Linked DNA regions of Canis lupus familiaris. The protein of the gene in region 3 binds, or shares a complex with, the protein of the main gene of each other region. Links are inferred from orthologs where the notes say so. Each region holds a gene or a part of one and is shown on either strand. Other genes may lie near its edges. The genes, in order: GPR158, GNB5 and RGS7.

The links.
Region 1: the proteins of RGS7 (region 3) and GPR158 are in contact, whole or in part, in a cryo-EM structure (PDB 7SHF), measured with the Homo sapiens proteins. The link is inferred for Canis lupus familiaris from reciprocal best matches to the Homo sapiens genes RGS7 and GPR158. Residues at the interface, in NP_001351815.1 of Homo sapiens: Gln35, Ile43, Ser55, Arg109, Phe110, Thr112, Pro113, Tyr114, Phe115, Lys134, Thr136, Lys140, Ala141, Arg142, Leu143, Leu145, Ala146, Asp147, Ala150, Leu153, Gln157, Trp164, Phe168, Met169, Gln170, Glu172, Ala173, Gln174, Lys176, Val177; in NP_065803.2 of Homo sapiens: Leu507, Lys508, Phe510, Leu511, Arg513, Thr514, Tyr595, Tyr598, Ala599, Thr602, Val603, Pro604, Ile714, Arg715, Leu718, Lys719, Tyr722, Leu725, Glu726, Tyr728, Lys729, Arg730, Met733, Ile734, Thr735, Asn736, Asn737.
Region 2: the proteins of RGS7 (region 3) and GNB5 are in contact, whole or in part, in a cryo-EM structure (PDB 7EWP), measured with the Homo sapiens proteins. The link is inferred for Canis lupus familiaris from reciprocal best matches to the Homo sapiens genes RGS7 and GNB5. Residues at the interface, in NP_001351815.1 of Homo sapiens: Pro19, Leu22, Val23, Lys26, Val30, Ile72, Val76, Glu77, His80, Leu81, Leu84, His88, Val207, Asp213, Ile214, Lys215, Lys216, Leu258, Gln261, Ile262, Trp265, Gln266, Gln268, Leu269, Arg271, His272, Arg273, Leu274, Lys275, Met276; in NP_057278.2 of Homo sapiens: Leu57, Glu60, Ala61, Glu62, Leu64, Lys65, Leu68, Glu71, Lys74, Leu75, His76, Asp77, Val78, Glu79, Leu80, Val83, Leu90, Phe93, Arg98, Arg99, Leu109, Lys117, Arg118, Ser134, Phe135, Trp149, Met151, Leu167, Tyr197, Ser206.

The regions. Positions count from the first base shown.
Region 1 is NC_049223.1:5,811,792-5,815,440, forward strand, and holds part of GPR158 (probable G-protein coupled receptor 158), read right to left. Parts: intron 932-3,649; coding exon 693-931; intron 1-692. UniProt on the Homo sapiens protein: Metabotropic receptor for glycine that controls synapse formation and function in the brain. Acts as an atypical G-protein coupled receptor that recruits and regulates the RGS7-GNB5 complex instead of activating G proteins.
Region 2 is NC_049251.1:18,167,295-18,170,943, reverse strand, and holds part of GNB5 (guanine nucleotide-binding protein subunit beta-5), read left to right. Parts: intron 1-1,230; exon of another isoform or gene 1,231-1,249; intron 1,250-1,570; exon of another isoform or gene 1,571-1,664; coding exon 1,665-1,776; intron 1,777-3,625; exon of another isoform or gene 3,626-3,649. UniProt on the Homo sapiens protein: Enhances GTPase-activating protein (GAP) activity of regulator of G protein signaling (RGS) proteins, such as RGS7 and RGS9, hence involved in the termination of the signaling initiated by the G protein coupled receptors (GPCRs) by accelerating the GTP hydrolysis on the G-alpha subunits, thereby promoting their inactivation.
Region 3 is NC_049228.1:32,251,959-32,255,607, forward strand, and holds part of RGS7 (regulator of G-protein signaling 7), read right to left. Parts: intron 2,622-3,649; coding exon 2,435-2,621; intron 2,209-2,434; exon of another isoform or gene 1,895-2,208; intron 1-1,894. UniProt on the Homo sapiens protein: GTPase activator component of the RGS7-GNB5 complex that regulates G protein-coupled receptor signaling cascades.

The DNA.
Region 1 (3,649 bases), on a different chromosome or scaffold from region 3:
CAGAAAAATTTCTATTGATTTCTCCTCCTCATTTTTCAAAAAATCAAGGTGCCAGAAAAACCTATGCTTCTGGCCTAAGATGTCATGTGGTTCTTCCAAGTTCTCCAGTTTCTCAGGCATGGAACAGTCTCTCACCAACCCCAAGGAGCATGGCTTCATTTTTGTGGAATACTGGACCTCCAGAGAAGTCCTAATAAATTATCTTTAGAAGAGCCATAGATTAATTAAAATTTTTGCAGGGAAGATCTCTACTCAAAATGTGCCCTGCATCCCTAGTCTGAAATATCACAGGACCTAAACTATATAAAAAATACTAGTATGTTTCCCTTTTTTCCCCTCCCAATTAAAGAAATAAATCAAGAAAACAGCTATTGTTAATACAATGGGAATACACTGATAAGGTGGAAAACAGAAATTTTCTTTGTAAGAAGTAGTTGTTTTTATTTGCTGCATTTCTCCTTCCTAATTTACTTGACCACATTTTCTCAACAAAGCTACATACCTTTGAAAAAGAATGGAAACTCAGAAAAAGTCTGCATTTCACATGTCATTGTCCTTTTCATGATATTGTTTTACCCAAACCATATTAGGTGAAATCCCTTTCAGTTTTGTAAAAGGGTATGGTAAGGCTTCTAAAGAAGTCTATTTTAGGAAATAGGACCAGACAACGCACAAAATAAGTGACCACATACCAACTGCTGTCATGTAATCCCAGCGCTCAATGAGGCACATATTGAAGATGAGGTGATCAGATGTTTGCCCTTGGCCAATAAGTGAAATCTGCCTCTCCAAATTCTGGCAAACAGACGAAGTCCAGCCAACAAGAAACCAAAATACTACCAGGAGCATTACTGCCAGCATCCTCATGACCCGTCCACCAGTCATATATGGAATCCGCTGGGCTGTTCGTGAAAGAAACACCTTCAAAACCCTGGAAAAGCAAAACATCAAAATGTGAAGGCAAACTTAGCACTCAGAAAAACTCCATATTATTTGATTCTTCTAGGTGAAGTTTAAGCCCACCAAAAACCTACTTATGCAGAGTTTTAACATGAAAAAAAAAAAAAACCTAGAAACAGTATTGCTTTTATTTTCACTTAATTTCATTCTAGTTTTTATCTTCCAATAGCAAAACAGATATTCTACTTTAGATGGCAGTGAGTCAACAGATTTGTACAGGATGAAATTATTTTGAGTGTGTCTTAATATTTTAGGGAACATACTCAAGATCTTAAAAAAAAAGGATCCAGAGGCAAACTGGCTCAAACAAGATTTCCAAGGGATCAAAACTAGTCTTGAAAATAAGTAGCTAGATTTCACACTATTATACTAAGCCAAAAACTTCCCTGAACCAGTTAATTTTTTACAATAGAATAACATGAAAGGCATTTTCTGAAAATTATTTTTTTTAAAGATTTTATTTATTTATTCATGAGATACACAGAGAGAAGAGAGACAAAGGCAGAGACATAGGCAGAGGGAGAAGCAGGCTCCATGCAGGGAGCCTGATGTGGGACTCGATCCCCAGACTCCAGGATCACAGTCTGGGTCGAAGGCTGAGCCACCCAGGCATCCCGTGAAAATTATACAAATTGATTTCCCTTTGTAATTATTTTATCACATTACCAAAAAAAATAATGAAATAAACATGAAAACAATGAGAGAGGTATTTAAATACTAGGGTAACTGAATTAAGATCACTATATTAAGGAAGAAGATCGGGATGAAATTGGAAATGAAACATGCATACTTGAAATAGCCTAGATGTATTATACTTTTTTTTTTCTCTCTATAGACCTTTGGTAGCTCTTCCTGAATCAACACAATACATCCAACAAAGAAAGTTATTTTACAGCAGACTTTTATTTATCCTTCTTCCCTATACCTTTAACTCCATTGTCCTTCAGCTAACACAAAGGGTGAAGTTATTTAATTCTGAATAAAATACCTACACTTAACTTTTCTGTGGAACAATGTCAGAAAGATATTAGTATAAAATAAGAGGATAGTAGCTCTTTTTACTCTAGTACCATTTTACTAGTTCACCAGATTAACGGCTATTCTCCATTCCCTAGGTAAAACATATTGAGTACTGCCCATGCCATGTAAATGCTAGTACTGGCAGCTAACTTGCTAGCTCTGTCTAGTGTGCCTCAAACGCTTTTGCTCCAACCAGGGGAATTGCTACTTGTTAAGAAATCAGTTGTATTTGTCCCCAAATCGTGCCCATTGTTATCACCTTATATAATTTAACTAAATTACGAATAAAATAATTACTCATGATGTAAAAAAAAGACTTATTTGTATAAAATAAGGAGAGAAAATGAGTGGAAATATCAGTGAGGGAGAAAGAACAAGAGAGACTCCTAACTCTGGGAAACAAACAAGTGGTAGTGGAAAGGGAGGTGGGCGAGGGTTTGGGGTGACTGGGTGATGGGCACTGAGGGGGGCACTTGACAGGATGAGCACTGGGTGATATGCTATATGTTGGCAAATTGAACTCCAATAAAAATAAAACAAAACAAAATAAAATAAAATAAAATAAAATAATCTATCTCGAATGCTTTGGAAAGACTCCATGTCGGCAAGTCATTAAATAGGCTTTTAACTGAGGGGAAAATGAGGAAATTTTAGTTTATTGGAGTGGTCAATAAACAAGAATCTAGAAAGTCTATACTCAGATTACTTTAAAAATATTTAGATTTACACTTTTATCTAAAGAACCAACACTGAACAGTAAATAATGATTATAGTAATTTATGTTAGAAAGAGAATAATGCACTCCAAATACCTGACCCATAGTCAAAGAAGTTTTTCCTCAAAAGTATTGGTAAGTGAGGAGCACGTGGGTGACTCAGTCAGTTAAGCATCTGACTCCTGATTTTGATTCACGTCATGATGTCAGAGTTCTGGGATTGAACCTCGTGTGGGTCTCTGTGCTCAGTTCAGAGTCAGTGGGAGAATTTCTCTTCCTTTCCTTTGGCCCCTGACCTTACTCATGTTCTCTCTCCCTCCCCCTCTCCCTGAAATAAATAAATCTTTTAAAAAGTTGGTAAATGATTATTTGTGTGTTTTAAGTCACAGCCTCTTATACACTTCTTTAATGCTTTTTTGCTTTAAACAAGTTAATCAACTTATTGGTCAATGATTAACCCTATAAGAAGCCTTCTATTATAATTAGCAGATCAAAAAATTCAGAGAACTCTTAGAAATAAGAGACATTTAAAAAATTGTCGTTATTATCATTATTATTATTTTTTGCCAGTGTCAATTTTATTTTCTGCAGGAGAAACTTGCAGCCACTATGTACACATAATTGTCTCTGGGTATACCTGAATGAATTCTAAATTTTGAATGACTAGGAACTCAAAAGAGGAAATCTGGCCCATTTTTATGGTCTTCTATATTTTGGCTAGGCAGAAAAAGGAGAATTCTTTAGTACTAGACACTGAATACATAAGCATAATGAATGACTTTTTATATAGTGACAATCATATATAAATAACTGAAATATAAGTATAACGAGCAAATATTTATATAGTGATAATCATATGCTGGGCATTATGCGGGGCAACATGGAAGAATAAGATATAGTCCTAGAAGTTTACAGTCTAACTAGAAATAAATATGCAAATAACTGCTTGATGCC
Region 2 (3,649 bases), on a different chromosome or scaffold from region 3:
ACTGAGAATAATTGATGAATGAACTTCTACTGATGGGAAGGGAAAGGGGAGCTGGTAGTTAATAGTATCTGCTATGATGGAGAAGCTGCTAAAAAGTTCATTCACATGATCTTATTTAATTCTCCTAATAGCCCTAGGAAGTAGATTTTCCAGCGAAGGAAACTGAGCTCAGAATCTAACCTCTAGACGACCATGTATAGATTAATACAGATTACTTCCAACTTTTCTTTGGTAAACAGCTGCCCAGGACAGCAAGTAGAAGCTGGATTCCTCAGGCAGGGAGGGGTGAGGACATACCCCCAAATCCTGTTTGGGAATGTTTGCTCTAGAGTTTTTTTTTTTTTTTTTTTAAGATTTTATTTATTTATTCATGAGAGACACAGAGAGAGGCAAAGAGAGAAAGGCAGGCTCCACGCCGGGAGCCCAGCGGGACTTGATCCCAGGACTCCAGGATCACGTCCTGAGCAGAGAGCAGACTCTTAACCGCTGAGCTACCCAGGCGTCCCATGCTCTAGAGTTTGTAACCTTAATCCACCTTCCCATTTTGCACACATGCACACATACACACATACACACATACATGCAAGCTCATGGACAGGCAAAAGGGAGAAGCAATGCGTTGGCTCCTCCACACTTAAGTCGCCAGGCATGTAGCTGAATGGAGCCACATTGTCTAGGTCCAAATCCTACCTTTACCTCTTTCTTGGGAGTGTGACTCAAGCAAATCATATAACCCTTCTGTGCCTCAGTGTCCTCATTTGTGAAATGGGGATAACAGTATCCATTCAGGGTGACTGTTGTGATTTATTAACGCAAAGTGCTTGGAACAGTGCCTGGCACCAGGACTTCTACGTAAGCGCACAGGGAGGCAAGTTTCGGGTTCGCTGGGGGGGAGCACCGGGGCTTCCCAGGACGAGGCCGGGTCTCCATCCGTGGTGCGGCCTGGGCCTCGCTGCCCGCTCCCCGCTCTCTGCGCTGCAGGAAGCAGCCGCGCCGCAGCCTACCAAGTCCCCCTGAGCGGAGACGGGTGCCGGGGACGCGGGCGCCAGGAAGGCCGCGCTCCGGGACCTCAGCGGCTCCCGGGGGCCGGGCAGTACGTGCGCGTCCTCCGCCAGGTCATCTCATCACCTCTGCGCCTCGGCTCTCCCGCCGGTGAAATGGGCACGACGCTCCCCGCTTCCCGGGGCGGGGTGCGCAGCAGCGCCACGGCGGGCATCGCCCTGGGCACGGCGCCGGGCGCGCGCGGCAGGTGCCCGGGCGGGGGCGCGGGGGGCGCGGGGGGGGGGCGGCGGGCATCGCCCTGGGCACGGCGCCGGGCGGGGGTGCGGGGTGCGGGGGCCGCGGGGGGCGCGGGGGGGGCGCGCGAGGGGGGGCGGCGGGCATCGCCCTGGGCACGGCGCCGGGCGCGCGCGGCAGGTGCCCGGGCGGGGGCGCGGGGCCGCGGGGGGCGCGCAGGGCGGGGGGGCCCACGGCGGGGGGGTTCGGCCGCCGCGGCCCCGCTCGCACCGCCCGCGTCAGCGCCGGAGGGCGGGGCCGCGGCGGGGCGAAGGCAGCCGGAGCCGCGCCGGGGGCCGCTCCCGCCCGCTCGCCGGCCAGGCCTCCGCCGCCCGCGCGCCCGCTCACCCGCGTCCCCGCTTCCCTCCCCGCCGCTTCCCGGCGCGAAGATGGCAACCGACGGGCTGCACGAGAACCAGACGCTGGCGTCGCTGAAGAGCGAGGCCGAGAGCCTCAAGGGCAAGCTGGAGGAGGAGCGGGCCAAGCTGCACGACGTGGAGCGTGAGTGCGGGCCGGGCGGGGGCTGCGCGCCGGGAGGCGGCCGAGGAAGCCAGGAGCCCCCGGGGAGCGGGCCGGGGCGGGAGCTGGGCCTGCGCCCGCCGCGGAGGGGCGCCCGGCCCCGGCCCCCGGCCCCGCCCCGGCTCCCGGCCCCCGGCTCAGGGCGCGGGGCGAGGCGAGGGCTGCGGCCGCGGCCCTGGGGCCCGAGCCCGGCGGCCCCGGAGGCCCGGACGCCTTGCACAGGCCGGTCCGCTGGCCGAGGCCGCGCCGCCTCCGGGCGGGGGCGCGGGGGTGGGCCCCTGGCGGCCGCTGTCCCCACCCGCGGCGCCCACCTGGGGACCTCGGGACCTGTGCCCCTTGCCCTGCCTGGAGGATGCGAACCGACCGCGGCGGCGGGGGCGGCGGGGGCGGGCTTTCTCCATCACTGTCGTGTGTGTTTTCTCAGTTTTGCTTTTACAAGGAGCCAGACTCTCAGTTAAAAAAAAAATCTCATTTTTCCAGTCTGCCCTCTTGGCTTGGGGGTGGAGACCCGGATGAGGGAAGAAGAGCAGAGCAGCTTTTACCAAATCCAATGACTTCGTTCCTTTAAGGCTATTTAAGAAGCTTTTGAATGGATGCGGGTGCGATTGGCAGAAGAGAGCAACAGCAGTCTTAAATAAACGTACTCATTGGCCACTAGATCATTCAGAAACCGCTCTGTGACTTTTATGAGTGAGCAATTAAATAGACAGGTGAAACGACTTGGTGGGACCAGCTTTCCTTTACTGTCAGATGGTTTGTCCCCAGCAGAGTTTGGGCTCAGGGCCAGACTTGGGGAAGTGGCTTTTACCTGCTTATCTTTCAGCTCTGAGAGTGGCAGCTCCCGGTTTGCTGAGCACAGCCTCCCCCATGGTACCCTCAGGCACTCCTGTGCATTGTGCTCCTACCATTCCTATTTGGTGCCACCCCTTTTAAATTCTATTTGGAGCAGAAACATGGGGTTCATGCTAGGTCCTTTAACGCCTGACTCCTCTCTTTGAAAATCACTTGATGGAAGCAGGTGACCTGAATCTAGAATGTGCTGTGCTTTGTAGGGACTTCCTTTAAATTAGACGTGCTAAACCCCAACATCATTTAGGGATGTGTCCAGCTACAATTAACTATAAACCCCAAATAAAGTAGCTAAGCAAATTGGGAGTTCTTTTCCTTATATAACAGGAAGAAGTGTAGGTGATCACCAGCTCTGGTCCAGCTGCTCAGCATGCCATCAGGGACTCACGCTCGAGTCTTTCTCCACCACCACCCTGAGAACATTGGCATTAGCCCTGTGATTATGATATGACCTCCACAGCTCCAAATATAACCTTTGTATCCAGGACAAGAAGGAGAAATATGGGCACCAGCCCCTGTTTCTCCTTCTTTTTTAAAATATTTTATTTATTTATTCGCGCGCACGCGCGAGAGAGAGAGAGAGAGAGAGAGAGAAGCAGAAACATAGGCAGAGGGAGAGAAGCAGGTTTCCTGCAAAGAGCCTGATGCAGAACTTGATCCTGACCCCAGGATCACTCCCTGAGCCAAAGGCAGACGTTCAACTGCTGAGCCACGCACGCATCCCGTCTGTTTCTTCCTCTTATCAGAAAAGCAGAAGTCTTCCCCATCACCTCCTTTCTCCCAACAGATTTTGTACTTTATTGGCCAGAAATAGGTCACAAAGCTACTGCAATGAAGCTGGGAAAGAAAGAAGTGAGCTGGACACATTGTCACCCCCAAATAAAGCTGGCTTTCCGTTGTCAGGAAGCATTATGGAACAGAGATTGGGAGGCACTGGACAAAGCCTGCCTCATTTCACTCTGCCATTTCCTACATTCTGCAGATGTTATCGATGATGCTGTGAGGG
Region 3 (3,649 bases):
AATTTAATCCTAATCAGTCTGCAGTGCTCTATCTTGAGGATGAAGATTGGTAGATGAAGAAGTCAAGGAAAAAAGTGTATTCATCCAATTCACTGCTAGCCCAATCGAGGTAGATTCTGCTCTCGCCCACTGCAGCTCAATGGAGCATAAAAACTCCTTCATCTTTCTAGTCTAGTGAAATACCAGTTAGATGCAGAGAGTATCCTGGATGTCCTAATCTCTGTTTGCAGAAAATATATATTTTAGGAAATGACTCATTTCCCTGATCTCAAACATACTGGCAATAATCTGGATTTACTCTTGCTCAATATTTAGCCTAAGGCTCATCTCCAAGAGTATGGTACATTTGGGACCCTATCAGAATTTGTTGTTGGAAAAGTGGGGTGATGTCCTATTTTGGAGTCAAGCTTTTTGGGATTCAAATCTTACTGTGCTCAAGATCTGCCACTTACAGACATATACATTTAGGCCAATTTATTCATCTTTCTGACTCTCATTTTTTTAATACATAAAAAAGGTTGTTGTGAGGCCCAAAGGCCTTACGTTTAGCAAAGTAAGGGAGTTATCCATAGTAAGTGCTCAGATCTGCTTGAATATATGTCAGTCACACTTCTAATGCTTGCCTATATTAGTAAATTTAATCTTCACAAAACCTCAGTGAGGTTGGGAACCATTATTATGTCCATTTTAAATATGAAGAAGAGGACACACAACAGAGCTCTGACTAGAACTCAGCCAATGATGACTCTAGAAATGGCTTTCTTAGCCATTACACTGGGTCTTTTCTCAAATAATGCCAGGAATTTCTATTACTATATTTTTGAAGAAGAGGTTTAAAAAAAACTAGCAAAAACTGGAGTTAAATAGCTGAACTTAACTGAAAAAGAAGTACAGGGTCAGGTGGTAATGTTTTCTGTAGAAAATTATGCCTTTTCATTTTAAAAAAGATTTTTATTTATTTATTTATTTGAGAGAGAGAGAGAGAGAGAGAAAGAGAGAGCAAGCACAAGTGGTGGGGAGGGGCTGAGGGCGAGGGAGAAGCAAACTCCCTGTTGAACAGGGAGCCTGATGCAGGACTCCATCCCAAGACCCTGGGATCATGACCTGAGCCGAAGGCAGATGCTTAACCAAGAGCCACCCAGGTGCCCTATGCCTTTTCATTTTATTGAACGCCTAATAAACAAGAATATTTTTAATGCCACAGATAACAAAGAAATGTTCCTTTTAGGACTTTAGGAAGGTTAACCCAAACATTTTATACATTGTTGGCTCTAGAAAAATGTTTGAAATTTTATCTTGAACTGAAAGAAAGATAAATCAACAGAGAAGTAAGCAACAGGGCTACAATTTTCATCCTGCTCTTTCTTCTGTGTATCTGTAATTATTTCCAAATAGAAGGACATGGCAGAGCCAGAGAGACTGGGTATCTGGTTAGCTGTTTCAGCCTAATAAGCAGATCTGAGCACTTACTTACTTATTGTTAGTTTTCTATACGATGGCTCTTTTCTTTTAACCAAAGCCAGGAGAAATGTACTTTCCACTGAGACTGCAAACAAGGAAGGGCATGTGTGTATCTTATTTTTCATCTTCTATATTTTATATTAGTAATGTTGTTATTTGCAAAACCAAATACTTTCTAGAACTAATATTCTTCTCCAGAAGAGGTTTAAGAAATTAAGAAGTATGAATGGTCTGATTTAAAAGCCAATTTCAGCATATCATTAGGAAAATAATATCCTCTCATTTCAAGTTTATTGTTCTTCTTGAGCACAATTTTTTAGAGAAAATAGAAATTCAGATTATGTCTAAAGAGGCAATTATGTCCAGTTTGAGAAAAAAAAAACACTAAGGAAATTAACATCTAACATAAATTTCCTTTTTTTTCTTTTCACAGATTAAAAAGATAACTTGGAAAATTCATACATGCCTAAATCTATCATTTTATTGTATCATCAGAGACAAAACTGGCTTGAGTGTGACATAACTCTAAGCTACTTAGTTTAGTTCTGATAAGTCATCATAATGAATAATTTAAGAATGCCAGAAACTTAAAATCTCCACATTGGAAGACAACTTAAGATTTCAAATATGTGCTACTGAGGTGGGACCACCATTAGATAAGTGTTTTCTAACATACTGAGTGACAAAGTAGAAAATGAAGTAAAATTGTTCCAATATTTCAACCATTCCCCTTTAAGGAATATTCAGGTAAAAACATTCAAATTTACAAAGCATTCTCAGGCTCTAGTAACTGTTCTTTTTAACGTGTCTGTTCTCTTTTAAGTCAATTGGAGTTATTTACATATAGTTATCTAAATTGAAAATATTAAGCCTAGTCGCCAATTAAATGAAAATAAAGCAAAAGTATGTCAAATGTTAACTTCCCAGGAGCACATCTGTGACTTACGGTGGTGAGGCCCACCCATATACCAACCTGAGCATCTTCAAATGTGTATCGTCCAGGCTCCTTCACATTCTGTGTTGTTTTATCGTAGCTCTTAGAATCCAAGTTAATGGCACTGGGGGCTCCTGGAGCCAGAAATTCTTGCCATATTTCTTGAACTCGGGAAGGGACTTCTCTAATAGGCCTTTTCTTCAGGTCCTCCACTGCTAGCCAGAATCTATGCAAAATGAAACACCAATCACTTACTGTGACGCCTCATAATCTGCAAATTCTAACATATTGACTGATCATACTATTCACGATAATGCATAATAATGAGTTCCTTTTTTTCTGAGGGCTTCCCATAGATGGCCTTTTCTTCATTAGTTGTATTCAAATATATAAATTTTTCAAAAGGAAATGTTGAAAACAATCTCTTTTAAGTGTTTGCTGTTAAAACCAGTTCTCCCAGAGCCCTGATTCTTATACTTTAATTTTTAGTAGAGCAAAATGGCACTGCTAAAGAATCATTTAGAAAGGGAGAGGAGTTTGAAGGGAATTAGGGTGGGTGACATAGAGCATCTGCTTGGGGGGATGAAGTAGGGCATTATACTGTATTCTTTGGATCTTTTGTCCATTTGAGCAATGAGAAAATCCTATGGAAAGGATTTTCTGCTCTATCTGGCAAAAGAATTACAGTGAAGCTTTACTGGAATTAAAAGAGGACTGGATACAAGATCAGAAAAGGCCCTAGCTGGAGAAATCAGGGTAAGTAACTAATTTTAGGCTATTTAATTCAGAGAGTTATGAAATGACAGAAGCAACAAGCTTTCCCATGCCATTGTTTGAAAGGTTTAAATTTGTGGAGACATCATAGCAATTCAGAAGCTCTGAAAAAAACAAATATATACTGAGTTATTTCTAAATATATAAATATATTTTATATACTTCTGCATAGAATATATATACAAAATATATATATACTGTAAGCAAAGAACACTAGAACATATTTTGGTTGATAAGAGCAAATAGAAAAGTCTAATAATAAAGGGCCACATTGTATTAATGGGTTTAATTTCTTTAAATTTTGCTCTAAGTTATATGTTTTGGTTAGAACTAGAAATAATGTTGAAAAGATGAATATGTATATCATTATAATTTGTTAAAATGAAAAAGTACCTGAAAAGAGAAACTACTAGGTCTATGTTATCCTCAACATCATCAATTATTGCTCTAATGGCAGATGTAGTCATGCACAAAATGAGA